Linked DNA regions of Alligator mississippiensis. The protein of the gene in region 1 interacts with the protein of each later gene in a pairwise test. Links are inferred from orthologs where the notes say so. Each region holds a gene or a part of one and is shown on either strand. Other genes may lie near its edges. The genes, in order: MID2, TSGA10 and CCDC120.

Region 1 (3,744 bases):
AAACCTGGTTGGGCTGTGGCAGATGCGTGAATGGGGATGATCTGCCTGAAGTCACTAACAAAAACCAAATGGAAAGGATCACAATTTGTTTTAGAGAGGGAGCAGACCTGGACCACAGTCAAAAAGAAAGAGGCGGTGCTTAACGCATTAGCACCTAGGGCTTGAGAAAATGATGGGACACCAAAACAGAAGTCCCAAATAAAATCCCCAGAAATTTGTGCAACCCGTGAGGTTGAACTACCTTGGAAACATCTAGAATGGCCTGCATTATAGGCATAGAATACATGGTTGATACCAAATGCACAAGTAGAGCCTGAAGACTAGAACTTAAAACAGTGTTAACTCGGACACATTTCTACCTTGTCGGATATTTACTTCAATCACGCTTTGCCGCATTTCAAAACCAGTAATAGTCAGTCAAAGAACAGAAAGCCAATGAAACACAACAGTAAAATATTATTTAAAATACCAGCTGGTTATGGACTTCACCACATAAAATTATTATTACTGTCCTTATAGGCATGAATTTTCTCTCACCTTGCTGTCAACTTCAGAAGAAAGCTGACTAAATAACAAGAAACCCATTAACTCACATTTAACTAACCTTTATTGCCACTAAAGCTGTAGAACATGGTTAGCAATGAAATCTGAGGCAAGCAGACAGTATACTTACTGTACAAGGCTCCAAGCTCTACAAGACTCCCTGCTGGCAACCAGGGAAGCTTGAAACTAAAATGTGTCATTTTAAAATTTAGTCTCTAAAGCAAAAGATAGAAAGGATACAAATTCAGACTCCCCCTGAAAAATAAAATCAGAGAGAGTGAGAGAGAAATCATGATTGAGAATTCAGGCAGTACCAGGAGCGTATAAGTGGCTGAGTGAGAACTTTGCTTGGCTCAGGGACCGAGATCAGAAAAGCTACCAGCAGCCAGCTGATGATTGAATTATAAAGCTATTCCCAACTTTAGCATTTCAGAGCCAACAGTAATACCTGAAAAGGAAATGAGGTGTCTTTACTTCCACGGGTGTAATCTGGATTTGCAGGATGTATCCAGCTTCCTTGTCGGGGGGTGGGGGAGGGGGTGGAGAACAGCTGGGCAGCTCTAGCAGTGCGCACTAATGGAGCCTTCCTCCCCACAGAAGCTGCTTGAAAGCTTTTGCCCTCGCGCTTTGCAGGAGGCAGGCTGGGTATTTAGGAAGCAAGAAGAGGGTGAGAAAAGAAGAAGTGGGGGGAGAGGGGAGGGGTGATCACTTCGGCCCCGTGTCTCTCTGACCTACCCACCCCAGGGAAGACTCGCCCAGAAGAGAAAGGATTTTAATCGAGCTCCATGACACAAACAGGCCGGAAATGGCAAACGCAAACAAACAAGCAACCCACACGCAGACCCGAACCACGCGGCAGCCGGGCCCGGCTCGGGTTTCACCGCGGCTCCCTCGCAGCGCTCGCCGCCAATGCGGAGAAGGCAGCCCCTGGGCTGCGGGCGGTGTGCGCACGGGCTGGGGGCTGTGGCAGCCTGATATCCCGGAGAGTCGCATCCACCCCGCCATAACCGAGACTACCCCACTCCCTTCCAGGAAGGGCAGCACCCCCGGGCATGCACGGTTAACCCCTTCCTCCCCCAAGCGCGGACACCACACGGTGCCCCCCCTCCCCTCCCGGCCGCAGGCAGCAGCTCCGCAGCATCGCCCTCGCCCTGCGGAGGCGGGGAGCGGGCGGCCCGCAACTGTCCGCGGAGCCTCACGGCCTGCCCGGAGCGGGGGACGACCGGCACCGCCGCCGCTTCTCGGCGCCCGGCTGCGCTCCCGCCCCGACCTCCCCCGCCGGGCGTGTCCCCGGGGCCGGCAGCGCAGCGCAGCGCAGCGCAGCGCAGCGCGGGGGGCTCCTACCTACCAGCCGGTTCCAGCAGCCGCCCCGCCGCTGCCCGGGCATCTTGGAGGCGCAGGAGGGGGACGGCGCGGGGGAGCCGGCGAGCGGGAGCGGCGCGGGCGAGGGAGGCAGCGAGGAGCGCGGGCGGGGAGGAGGGAGCAGGGGGAGGGAGCGAGCGAGGGAGGAGGCAGCCGCGCTCCGTCCCCGCCGCCGCCGCTCCCGCCGCAGGTGAGGGCGCTGCCGGCCCTGGCGGGAAGCTTGTCCCGTCCGGGCCCCTCCCCGGACACCGGCGCGGGAAGCCCTCCCGCCAGCCCCCCGGGCCGCCGCCTCCGGGCAGCCCAGGGGGCGCGAGCAGTGCGGTGAGGGAGTCCGCCCGGACGCCCCCCACAGCTGCCAGGCTCCCGGGAGCTGCCTCTTCCGCTCCCGCACGGCTGGCAAGCAGCGGTCTTCAGCCGGGCTGCTGCAGAAAGGAGCCTCGCGGCTGCTGTAGCACTCGCTGCCATGAACGGGGCAGTCAGCGCCTCAGAGTGACTGTGCCAGGCTCCCTGCAAAGGCAGGAAGGCGGCTGCGTGGTATGTACACTCCAGGTTTTCCCTGTAACTGGCCCTAAACAGCCTCTTTTCCTTTCCGTTTAATAACAGCTGAGACCCAGAGGAACAAACAGCTGTGGCCCCTCATCGCCCTTCACAGGCCAGGCACGGTCAGGAACAACTGCATGCTTTGACACTCTCCTCCCCCAGCTCAGTGCTCGAAGGAAGTAGTTGGGGCAGGTCCTGCTTTGAGCAGGGGCTTGGGCTTGGGCTGCGCTGGATGACCTCCTGAGGGCCCTTCCCACCCTGCTGCTGTGTGATACTAAACCAAGATTCTCCGAGCCAGTGCCATTCTTTAGAGCTTTGCTCCACCGGGCCAATAAAAAAGAACTGATCCTGCCAGCAGATCTGGGCAGGATCCTGTGTCCAACCCCACCCTATTGCCAAGGGCATTCCTGCAGGATGAGTTTACACAATTGAAGTCAAGGTTTCCTACTATCCAGTTGTTATCACACTCCGCATGAGAAAAAGGAGTGGGAATGGAACATTAAAGAACATTTTTTTCCTTGTTCACAGGCCAGTAATGATTATAAAGGTAGTCACACGCACACATGTCAGGCAAAGGCTTTAAATGAGATCCATGGGGTGTTTTATTATTCATTATTACAGTAGAGGAGATACTTTAAGTTGAGATTCAATTTCTTTGCAGTGAGTCTTTTAATATGTTTGCTTTTCCATTGGCAGATACAACTGAGAAATAGATTCGCTTTTTTCTTACTTTCTGGTTCAGAAAAGGGTGGTGATGTCCTGATGTACTGTACGTTTTAATACATTAGAAAAAGTCTTGGATACATGTGCATTGTTATTGCTATTTATAAAGTACATCTACTTGTAACACCCAAGGGAAACGAGGATGGGCGACCCAGTGATATATTTATTCTTCCATAATGCAAATCCAGGTCAAACATTATTTATATTTGATAAATAAGGAATTTGTTTCTTTACAAATAAATACGCTAAGAAACATGTCTAAGCCTTGAACCTATGTTGCTTTTAGGGTGAAGCAGGAAGGGATTGTATTAGTGATTTGAAGGAGGTCCTTGGAGCACAGAACCTAGGTTTTATTTCCACCTATGCCCTTAAGTCACTGTGGCTTTCCTCCCTGCTTTTTCATAGTGGTATAACTGGTACATGTTAGCTGCCTCCCTGACTATTTGAGTGGAGTCAAAGCACTTACAGTTTTCACTGGATGCATCTACATGTGTGCTTTAATGCACAGTAGCCTATTTTACTGTGCATTAGCATCACTTAAAAACCACGCGCATTCATTACTGCTCATTAAGGCAG
Region 2 (3,744 bases), on another chromosome or scaffold:
TGCAGCACATGGGGCTGGGGCCAGCACACGCTGCTTGTGGTACGCACGAGTGGAATCAGAATGCTTGCTCTGCACAGTGCATAGGGCCAGTACAGGGTGTGTGCTACAAGCGGCACACGTCAGACCAGCCCTGTGCACTGGCCCTGATGCACAGGGCTGGACTGTAAACCTGATCCAGCCCACAGACCAGACCAGCACCCCTCATCTGGCCTATGGGACCAAATAAGTTGGATACCCCTGCACTAAATGAGAGAAAAGGAATGACACAAAATAGTACCTCTCAGAAGCTATTTATTGTTTAATTCTTCTGAATAAGCCAATTCCTTCAGCAAAACAAGACTGATTATTCCAGTATGATTCAAAATTGAGTGAATGGGGGATGTGCGCATCAAAAATATGCTCTGAACCTGCAAACATTTACGAAAGTGCTTAATTTAACATTTGAACATGATCATTTACCAGATTGAGCTCTCATAGATAACTGTGGAGCAGTGATGATCAGGTGTACTGAATGGTATATATAGCTCAGGTGTCTAACTCACCCCACCCCCCCAGAGCTGGATTCAGACCACAGGGCTCTTCATAGGTCAAGGGTGGAGGAAGGGGGCTTGAGGGGCAGCAGTCATTTTCCTCTGCAGCTGACATGCCTCCCCAACCGGGCTCTGTGCCCCAGACTTCCACTTGCCCTGCCCCTGAATTCCTGGTCTCTCTGGGAGCCCCACAGGCCTGAGCCATACATTTGACACCCCTGAAAGAGCCAAATTCAAGGATCTCAAAGGAGATGACACAGCAGGGAGAGGCTATGATTTTTCAGAGGCAGACCTGAGATAACCACTGAAATTATATTGAAAAACTTTAGAAAAGGTCTTGCCACGAACTCACTGACAAATCTGACCAAACATGGTCAAACAACTCTTACACAAATACAGAAAAAAAAGAAGATAAATGCTAGCAATTCCAGACCTGGTCATTTTCTTTGGATTCAATAGGGCTTTGTTAGGAGCTTCAATGACCAGGACCCCAAATTTATTCAAATCACTCACTCCACTTTTTTCACTGCTTTATGCTAATCCTTTTACAGCACTGAATTAAGTCAATGAGTTCACAAAAGCTTCTGCTTTATATACATATACATTATTTAGTTAGTCTAAAAGTGCAAATTCTACCTTGACTCCAAACTAACATCTAACTACCTTTCCCCAGAGGTGGGCAAACTATATCTGTCCAACCTCCCCCCCACAAAAAAAACAACCCCAAAACAAACCAACCAAAAAACCAAAGCAAAGCAAAAAAACCCGTGGTTTCTCTGCAAAAAGGAAGCTCAAGGCTGTGGTTCTCAACTTTTGACTTGAGGCACCCCCGGTGAAACAAGGGTCCCAATGGGAAATGCCAGCTCTGAGCTCCCATTTGTCTTTTCACTATACAGAAAAATAATCGAGCAACTCTTCAGTTGCAAAGGACTCAGAAAGCCGGCATCAGGTCAGAGCAGTTTTGACGCTATGGAGATTCCTATTTGAAATCTCCGGGCTTCTCTAGTGAATCATGTGTAGAGGCTTGCATGCCCAAGAGTGCGAATTGTGTGCGGCACCCTAAAATTAAGGCGTGCCACCCCAGGTTCTTCCACTGCGTGTCCTTGCTTGGGAAGCATCAGGTTAAACTAAACAGCCAAGCAGAAGAAGCGCTGTTGGAAAAGGAGCTACGTTGCCCTTTTTTTCACTGGGGAGAGCTCAGAAAGACCACACCGGGACAGGCTGCTGCTAAGGCAGCTTGTGCTTTAGCTTGCAAATCAGGTTTGCGCACCGGACAGCGCTGATGCGGTACGGCAGGCATCCCGCGGCACCCGTCAAAGGCGCTCAGGGCAGCCCCGGGGCTGCAGTCTCCTTGTGGAGAGTCACTGCCCCCAGGTCTGACAGGGGCCTGCACAAGGGCAAGGAGAAGGAAAGGAAAGGAGCAAAAGGGAAGGGAAGGAGGAGAAGGGGAGGAGAAGCAGCAGAACAGCCGCATGTGCCCGGTCACAGCCGCCCCCGCCCCGGGGGCAGCTAGCCCGGGCGGGGGGGGCACCTACCTGCAGGCGGCTACCCGCTCCCCGCCGCTGCCGCCGCCGCCCGCTCATGCCGCCCGCCCCGCCGAGGTGTGCACGCGTGTGGGGGAGGGGGGGTCAGTGTCAGCCCCACCCCGCGGTACCTGCGCGGTCCCCTCCGCGCCCCGCCCCCCAACGGCCGCCCGCGCTCTGCCCCGTCGGGGGAGAGGAGGGGAGGGGCGCAGGGCTGGCGCGAGGGGCCTTGAGGCGCGGCTCCCGCCTTACCGCCAGGATGGGCCGCGCGGCAGTTGGGTTGCCCGGCGCCCGTTGCCATGACGGCAGCGCGCTCGGGGCTGCAGCCCGCCTCGTGTTCCCGGCTCCTTTTGCAAAGCTCCTGTGCGCGCAAGTGCAAGCTGCTCGCGATGGGCTGGGCAGCGCCGAGCACTGGAAGTGCACCAGGCACGCGCAGGGCTCTTGGGTAAATCTGAGCTCTTCATTAAGTCCTTGTGCACATTGATACTTTAATAACTCAGGTTGGAGGTATGATTGAAACAATCGGTGAACGGCATTTAAAAGCAAATTTATTAAAGTTTTAGGACCACTGGAGTACACAGGGCTAGACTTCATAAGTAATAACAAGTTTATTCTTATTTCAGATTGACAAACGAAAAATGGCTACGGTAGTGTAGATGAGAAGTTAAAGTGTGGCCTGTGGCTAGCAGAATTGAAGTCTGTATCAGCTGTGAGAAGAAAATGGTGGTTATGTTGAAGTCTAGCATTGTGTAGTGTAGTGGTCCTAAAACTTTAGTAAATTTGCTTTTTAATGCCGCTTACAGGTTGTTTCTATCATACCTACAACCTAAATTATTAAAGTTTAAAAGTGTACAAGGACTTTATGAAGACCCTGTATTAGGCCAATTACAACAGTTGAGAAAATTTGTCTCTGGGGTACAAACACCCTTCTTCATCTGAAGATATAATTTTACATTAGTAAGTATTTCAGCTGAAGAAGGGTGTTTGTACCCCAAAGCTTGCAGAGATGATTTTTTCCAACTATTTGAGCTGGTCTAATGAGATCAGATTTACCCAAGAAACCTTGTCTGCCTGTGTGCTTAGAGCAGGGGCAGGCAATTATTTCAGGTGGAGGGCCGGTTACTGAGTTTTGGCAAGCCGTGGAGGGCCGCATGACAGGCAGCCAGGGGCAGATAAATATTAATTTTCTAAATTTTTTAGGGGCCCCGCGGGCCGGATAGAATGACCTGGCGGGCTGCATCTGGCCTGCGGGCCGCATTTTGCTCACCCCTAGCTTTGACCAACACGGCTGTAACCAACACCCCAGACATGTATGTTCATGCATAAAAATGTAGAAGAATCCCCACGGAGCTAGTGTGCAGCCCAGAATAAGGAGCTGGGAGTAGGCTGGGATTAGGGGCAAAATCCTTTTCAGGTCATCCCAGACTACACGTCACCCCCTGAGGGTTTCTTTGATGAATGCCAGGCAGGAGACGCATGGTTTGGGGTTACACAGAAAGGGACTATGGAGCAAAATCCAGCCTAATCTCAGCTCTTTATTCAGGGCCATGTGTTTGATCCACAATACTATTTTACGTGAGTAAATATTTCTTCTTCAGCAATCCGTCATAGTGAAGGATTCCTGTCTTCCAGAATTACCTTACCTGTGGGTCAACGATGGCTGACGAGGCCAACATGGGATTCACACGCTC
Region 3 (3,744 bases), about 9.8 Mb from region 1:
GGGGAGGGGCCTGCTAGAGGGTGGAGTTAGTTTAGAGAGGTGGGAGTAGCCAATCAGGAGGCGGAACCACATAAGGGTGGGGTTAGCCAGGGAAGACCACATTAGGACAGAAGGTGGGGAGAGAGGACTATGTAAGGGCACAGGGGGCGGGGCTAGCCAGGAAGAACGAAGCAACGCAGAAGGGGCGGAGTTAGCCAGGTCGGACCATAGAAGGGCAGCAGGGGGCGGGACTAGCTGGTGTGGATCATAGTGGGGGGGGGGCCGGATGAGGACTACATTAAGGCACAGAGGGCTAGGAGGGCGGGATATGGAGGGAACAAGGGGGCGTGGCTTGGGCGAGGCGGGGCATTCCTTACCTGCAGAGGTGATGAGTTGCCCTTTGACCTCCATGCCGGGGTCACGACGCCCCCAAATCCATGACGCCGGGACAGAGCCGGTGCCTGCGGGAGGTGGGGGACGGCAGAGAGGCTGAGCAGATAGGAAGTCAGGAGTCCCGGCCCCGCAGGGAACCCAGGCGTCCGGGTCCCTGCTCACCCCTCTTGGAGAACCCAGGCAGCCGGGCTTGCAGCCCCCTCCTCACCCCAGAGGACCCACGCATTCTAGACCCTGGTTTTCCCCACCCCCGCAGAAGACCCAGGCGTCAGAGACCCTATACCACACCCCCAAGAAAACCCAGGTGTCTGAGCTCCCCCCCTCAAGTTCCTCCGAGAGTCCCTGTTCTTGGACAGCCGAGGCGTGCGGGCCCCCGTCATCCCCCAAGAACCCAGGCGTCCTGGGCCCCCTCCCCTTGGAGGACCTAGACGTCCGAGCTCCTAGTCTCCGGACCCTCCCAGGGAACTCAGGTGCCCACCCCGCAAACCTATTGTGCAACAGACCCAGGAATCAGGGAGGCTCCTGGCGCAGGGGCCGCGGAACCCAGGAGTCTGGCCCCCTCCCCGCTCCAGGCCAACACGTCCTTCGCCCTGAAGGCTCCAGGTGGCGGCTTCCTGCTCGTGCCTCCACGTCGTGCTTCCGGCGCCCAGCCCCCAATTCAACCCCTCTTGTAGAACCCAGGCATCCGGGATCCCAGCTCCTCTGGTCTCACTCAGTACACCCCCATCCCCTAGCCAGAGAACCCAGGTGTCCAAGCCCTCCTGGTCTCAAACCCTGCTCCCCACCCAGGTGTCCAGGCTCCTAGCCACCCCTGGTCTTGCATTCCCAGATTCCACTCTCTCCTAAGGAACCCAGGCATCCAAGCTCCCAGCCCTACCCCTGCTACAACCACTAGTCTCCACTTCCCTCCCAGAGAACCCAGGTATCCAGGCTTCCAACTCCCCCCCCCCCCCCAATGCAGGTATTCGGGATCCCAGCACCCCTTGGTCTCACTCCTCTCCCAAAGAACCTGGGTGTCTGGGCTCCCAGCCACCGCCAACCTCACCCCATGCCCAGAGAACCCAGGCATCTGGACTCCCAGCACTTGACCCCATCTCCAGCTTCCACACTGCTGTCTCCTGTTCAGGGGCTAACCTGAGGTCCTCCCCCTTTAGCACTGTCCTGGCCCTGCTCCTAGTATGGCCCCGTGACTGGGCCCCAGTCTGGAACTGGTCACCTAGGGCCTTCCTGAGGCAAGAAATGGGGTCAGGCCCTGGGTGTTTCCACCTCAGAGCTAGGTGCATCTGGGCCCCTTGTTATATTTCCTCATTCTGGGCTGCTGGACCTGAGCTGAGTGCATCTGGGCCTTCCCTCTGTCTTATTATACTCAACCATTCCCTGACTTCCCCACCCCAGAGCTGGGTGCATCTAAGACTTGTCATACTTGGCTGTTCCTAACTACTGGACAACATGGGCCTGGTTATACTTGGCTGTTCCCCGGCCATGGCCACCCCAGAGATGGGCACATCTCGGCCTATATTAGGCCTTGTTATACTGGGTTGTTCCACCCCAGAGCTGGGCACCTCTGGGTCCTTCCCCAGGGTTGTTCTACATCCTGGATGCCCCACCCCAGAGGTGGTTGCATCACCTGCCCTGATTCATCCTAGTTTGGGACAAAGGTGCCTGCCAGGCCCTGGGTGGGGACTGTGAGTCACCCTGATGACAGGGTTCCCCAAGGGGAGAGTTGGGGGCTGGGAGCTCAGATGCTTGGATTCTCTCCCCATCTTTGATGGGAAAAGAGCCCATTGTCCTTCCTGCAAAATCTGGGGATCCCCCCTTCCCCACAAAAACCCAAGCATCTGGGCTCTCTCCCCCCAGCCCCCGAAAACCCAGGTGTCCAGGATCCCAGCCCCTCCAACCCAAGAGTCTGGCTCCCAGCCTCCCCTGCTCTCAGTCCCTAGCCCCTCCCCCGCGAGAACCCAGGCGTCCCGGGCTCCCTCCCGCCTTACCTCACTCTGCAGTCTCCGGGTTCGGTGGGGGAGAGGTCCCTGGGGAGGGGTTTACGGATCTATCCTCCCACCCCCAAAACCCCCGCTCTGCGGGACGGGGGGCAGGTCCAGGCCGGGAGGTAGGAACCCAGGCGCCCGAGATTGGTGGTGGTGATGGAAGGGATGTGGGTCGTGGGTGAGGGGCACCGCCGGACTATGGCGGGGGGAGGAGGCGGGTTCCGGGCAGGGAGTGGAGGGCACCGGGGAGCTATAGTAGAGGCTGCAGATCGAGGATCCAGGCAGAGAACCCAGGTGTCCGAGGAAGAGGTGCGAGGAAGAACCCAAGCGTCCGGGGCCCCGGCGCTGGCTGCAGCTGGGGGTGGGGGTTAACCCTCCTGGTGCTGGGGAGGAAAGTGGGTCCGTCTGCGCCGGCGCAACGTCGCCATGGCAACCGGGGGCGGGGCGCACTCGGGGAACTCAGGCGTCTGGGTACCCGTCCCTCCCTATACATGACAAGGAACCCAGGAATCCGAGTACAGAGCACTCCCCCCGCCCCAAGTCCTGTCCAAGAGAACCCAGGTGTCCAAGCTCTCAGCTGACTTCCCTGTTAAGGAACCCGGGTGCCTGGGTTCCCAAACCTCCTAGTCCCAGAACCAGCCCCCATTCCTCTGCCAGAGAACCCGGGCGTCTGGGCTCTCTGCCTGCCCTTCCCTCCCCCCAGTGCATACAAGCATAGCCAATGCCCCCCTGACAGAGACACTGGAAAACGAGCCCCCTCTGCTGGCCACTGCCAGCACTATACTGGGGGGGCTGCGGGTCGGGAATGAGGGAGACCGCTGGCTGCGATGGGGTGCGGGTCGGGAGTGAGAAGGACCGCGGGATCCGGAGGCTGCAGGTCGGGGGCACCGCAGGACTATGGCGAGGGGGGTTGCAGGTCGGAGTGAGGGGCACCGTCCCGTGGTAGTCGGGGACCCCCCTTGGGGCACCCCGCTATGTCAATAAGGGGGGGGTGCTTCCCCGCCTGACGTCACTTCCCGTGGAGTTCCCCCCCCACCCCGCGCTGTTTATCGCCTCGGCGGTTCCGTAGCTTTGGCTTTTCGGGGTCCCCCAGGCCGGATCGGGCCCCTCTTGGCCCTGAAAACAGGGTTTGCTGCCGCTGTAAGGGGGGCAGGGCCAGAGGAGGGGGCGGGGGAGGATGTCCCATGGGGCGGGGGAGGGGTCCCAACGCCCCCCCCCCGAGCTGCCCCCCAAAACCGTCTACGTGCTGCTGCAGGAGCCGGACCACGCCGGGCAGCTGCTCAGGTAAGCGGGGACGGGGGTCCCCCAGCCCCCCTTAGCGGTGCCCCTCACTCCTGATCCGCAGCCCCACTTTCCTACCCCACGGGCACCCCTAATTCCCAGTCTT

The links.
Region 2: the proteins of MID2 (region 1) and TSGA10 interact in binary tests that used the Homo sapiens proteins (3 or more experiments, as listed by UniProt). The two-hybrid records come from large-scale screens. The link is inferred for Alligator mississippiensis from reciprocal best matches to the Homo sapiens genes MID2 and TSGA10.
Region 3: the proteins of MID2 (region 1) and CCDC120 interact in binary tests that used the Homo sapiens proteins (3 or more experiments, as listed by UniProt). The link is inferred for Alligator mississippiensis from reciprocal best matches to the Homo sapiens genes MID2 and CCDC120.

Annotation. Positions count from the first base shown.
Region 1 is NC_081831.1:38,494,901-38,498,644, reverse strand, and holds the start of MID2 (probable E3 ubiquitin-protein ligase MID2), read right to left. Parts: upstream 2,164-3,744; 5' UTR 1,888-2,163; intron 1,548-1,887; exon of another isoform or gene 1,379-1,547; intron 1,363-1,378; exon of another isoform or gene 992-1,362; intron 1-991. UniProt on the Homo sapiens protein: E3 ubiquitin ligase that plays a role in microtubule stabilization. Mediates the 'Lys-48'-linked polyubiquitination of LRRK2 to drive its localization to microtubules and its proteasomal degradation in neurons.
Region 2 is NC_081824.1:342,983,900-342,987,643, forward strand, and holds the start of TSGA10 (testis-specific gene 10 protein), read right to left. Parts: upstream 2,272-3,744; 5' UTR 2,114-2,271; coding exon 2,066-2,113; intron 1-2,065. UniProt on the Homo sapiens protein: Plays a role in spermatogenesis. When overexpressed, prevents nuclear localization of HIF1A.
Region 3 is NC_081831.1:28,697,600-28,701,343, reverse strand, and holds the start of CCDC120 (coiled-coil domain-containing protein 120), read right to left. Parts: upstream 2,735-3,744; 5' UTR 2,361-2,734; intron 1,232-2,360; exon of another isoform or gene 876-1,231; intron 441-875; 5' UTR 391-440; coding exon 357-390; intron 1-356. Other genes in the region: TFE3 (transcription factor E3), read left to right, coding at 3,535-3,641. UniProt on the Homo sapiens protein: Centriolar protein required for centriole subdistal appendage assembly and microtubule anchoring in interphase cells. Together with CCDC68, cooperate with subdistal appendage components ODF2, NIN and CEP170 for hierarchical subdistal appendage assembly.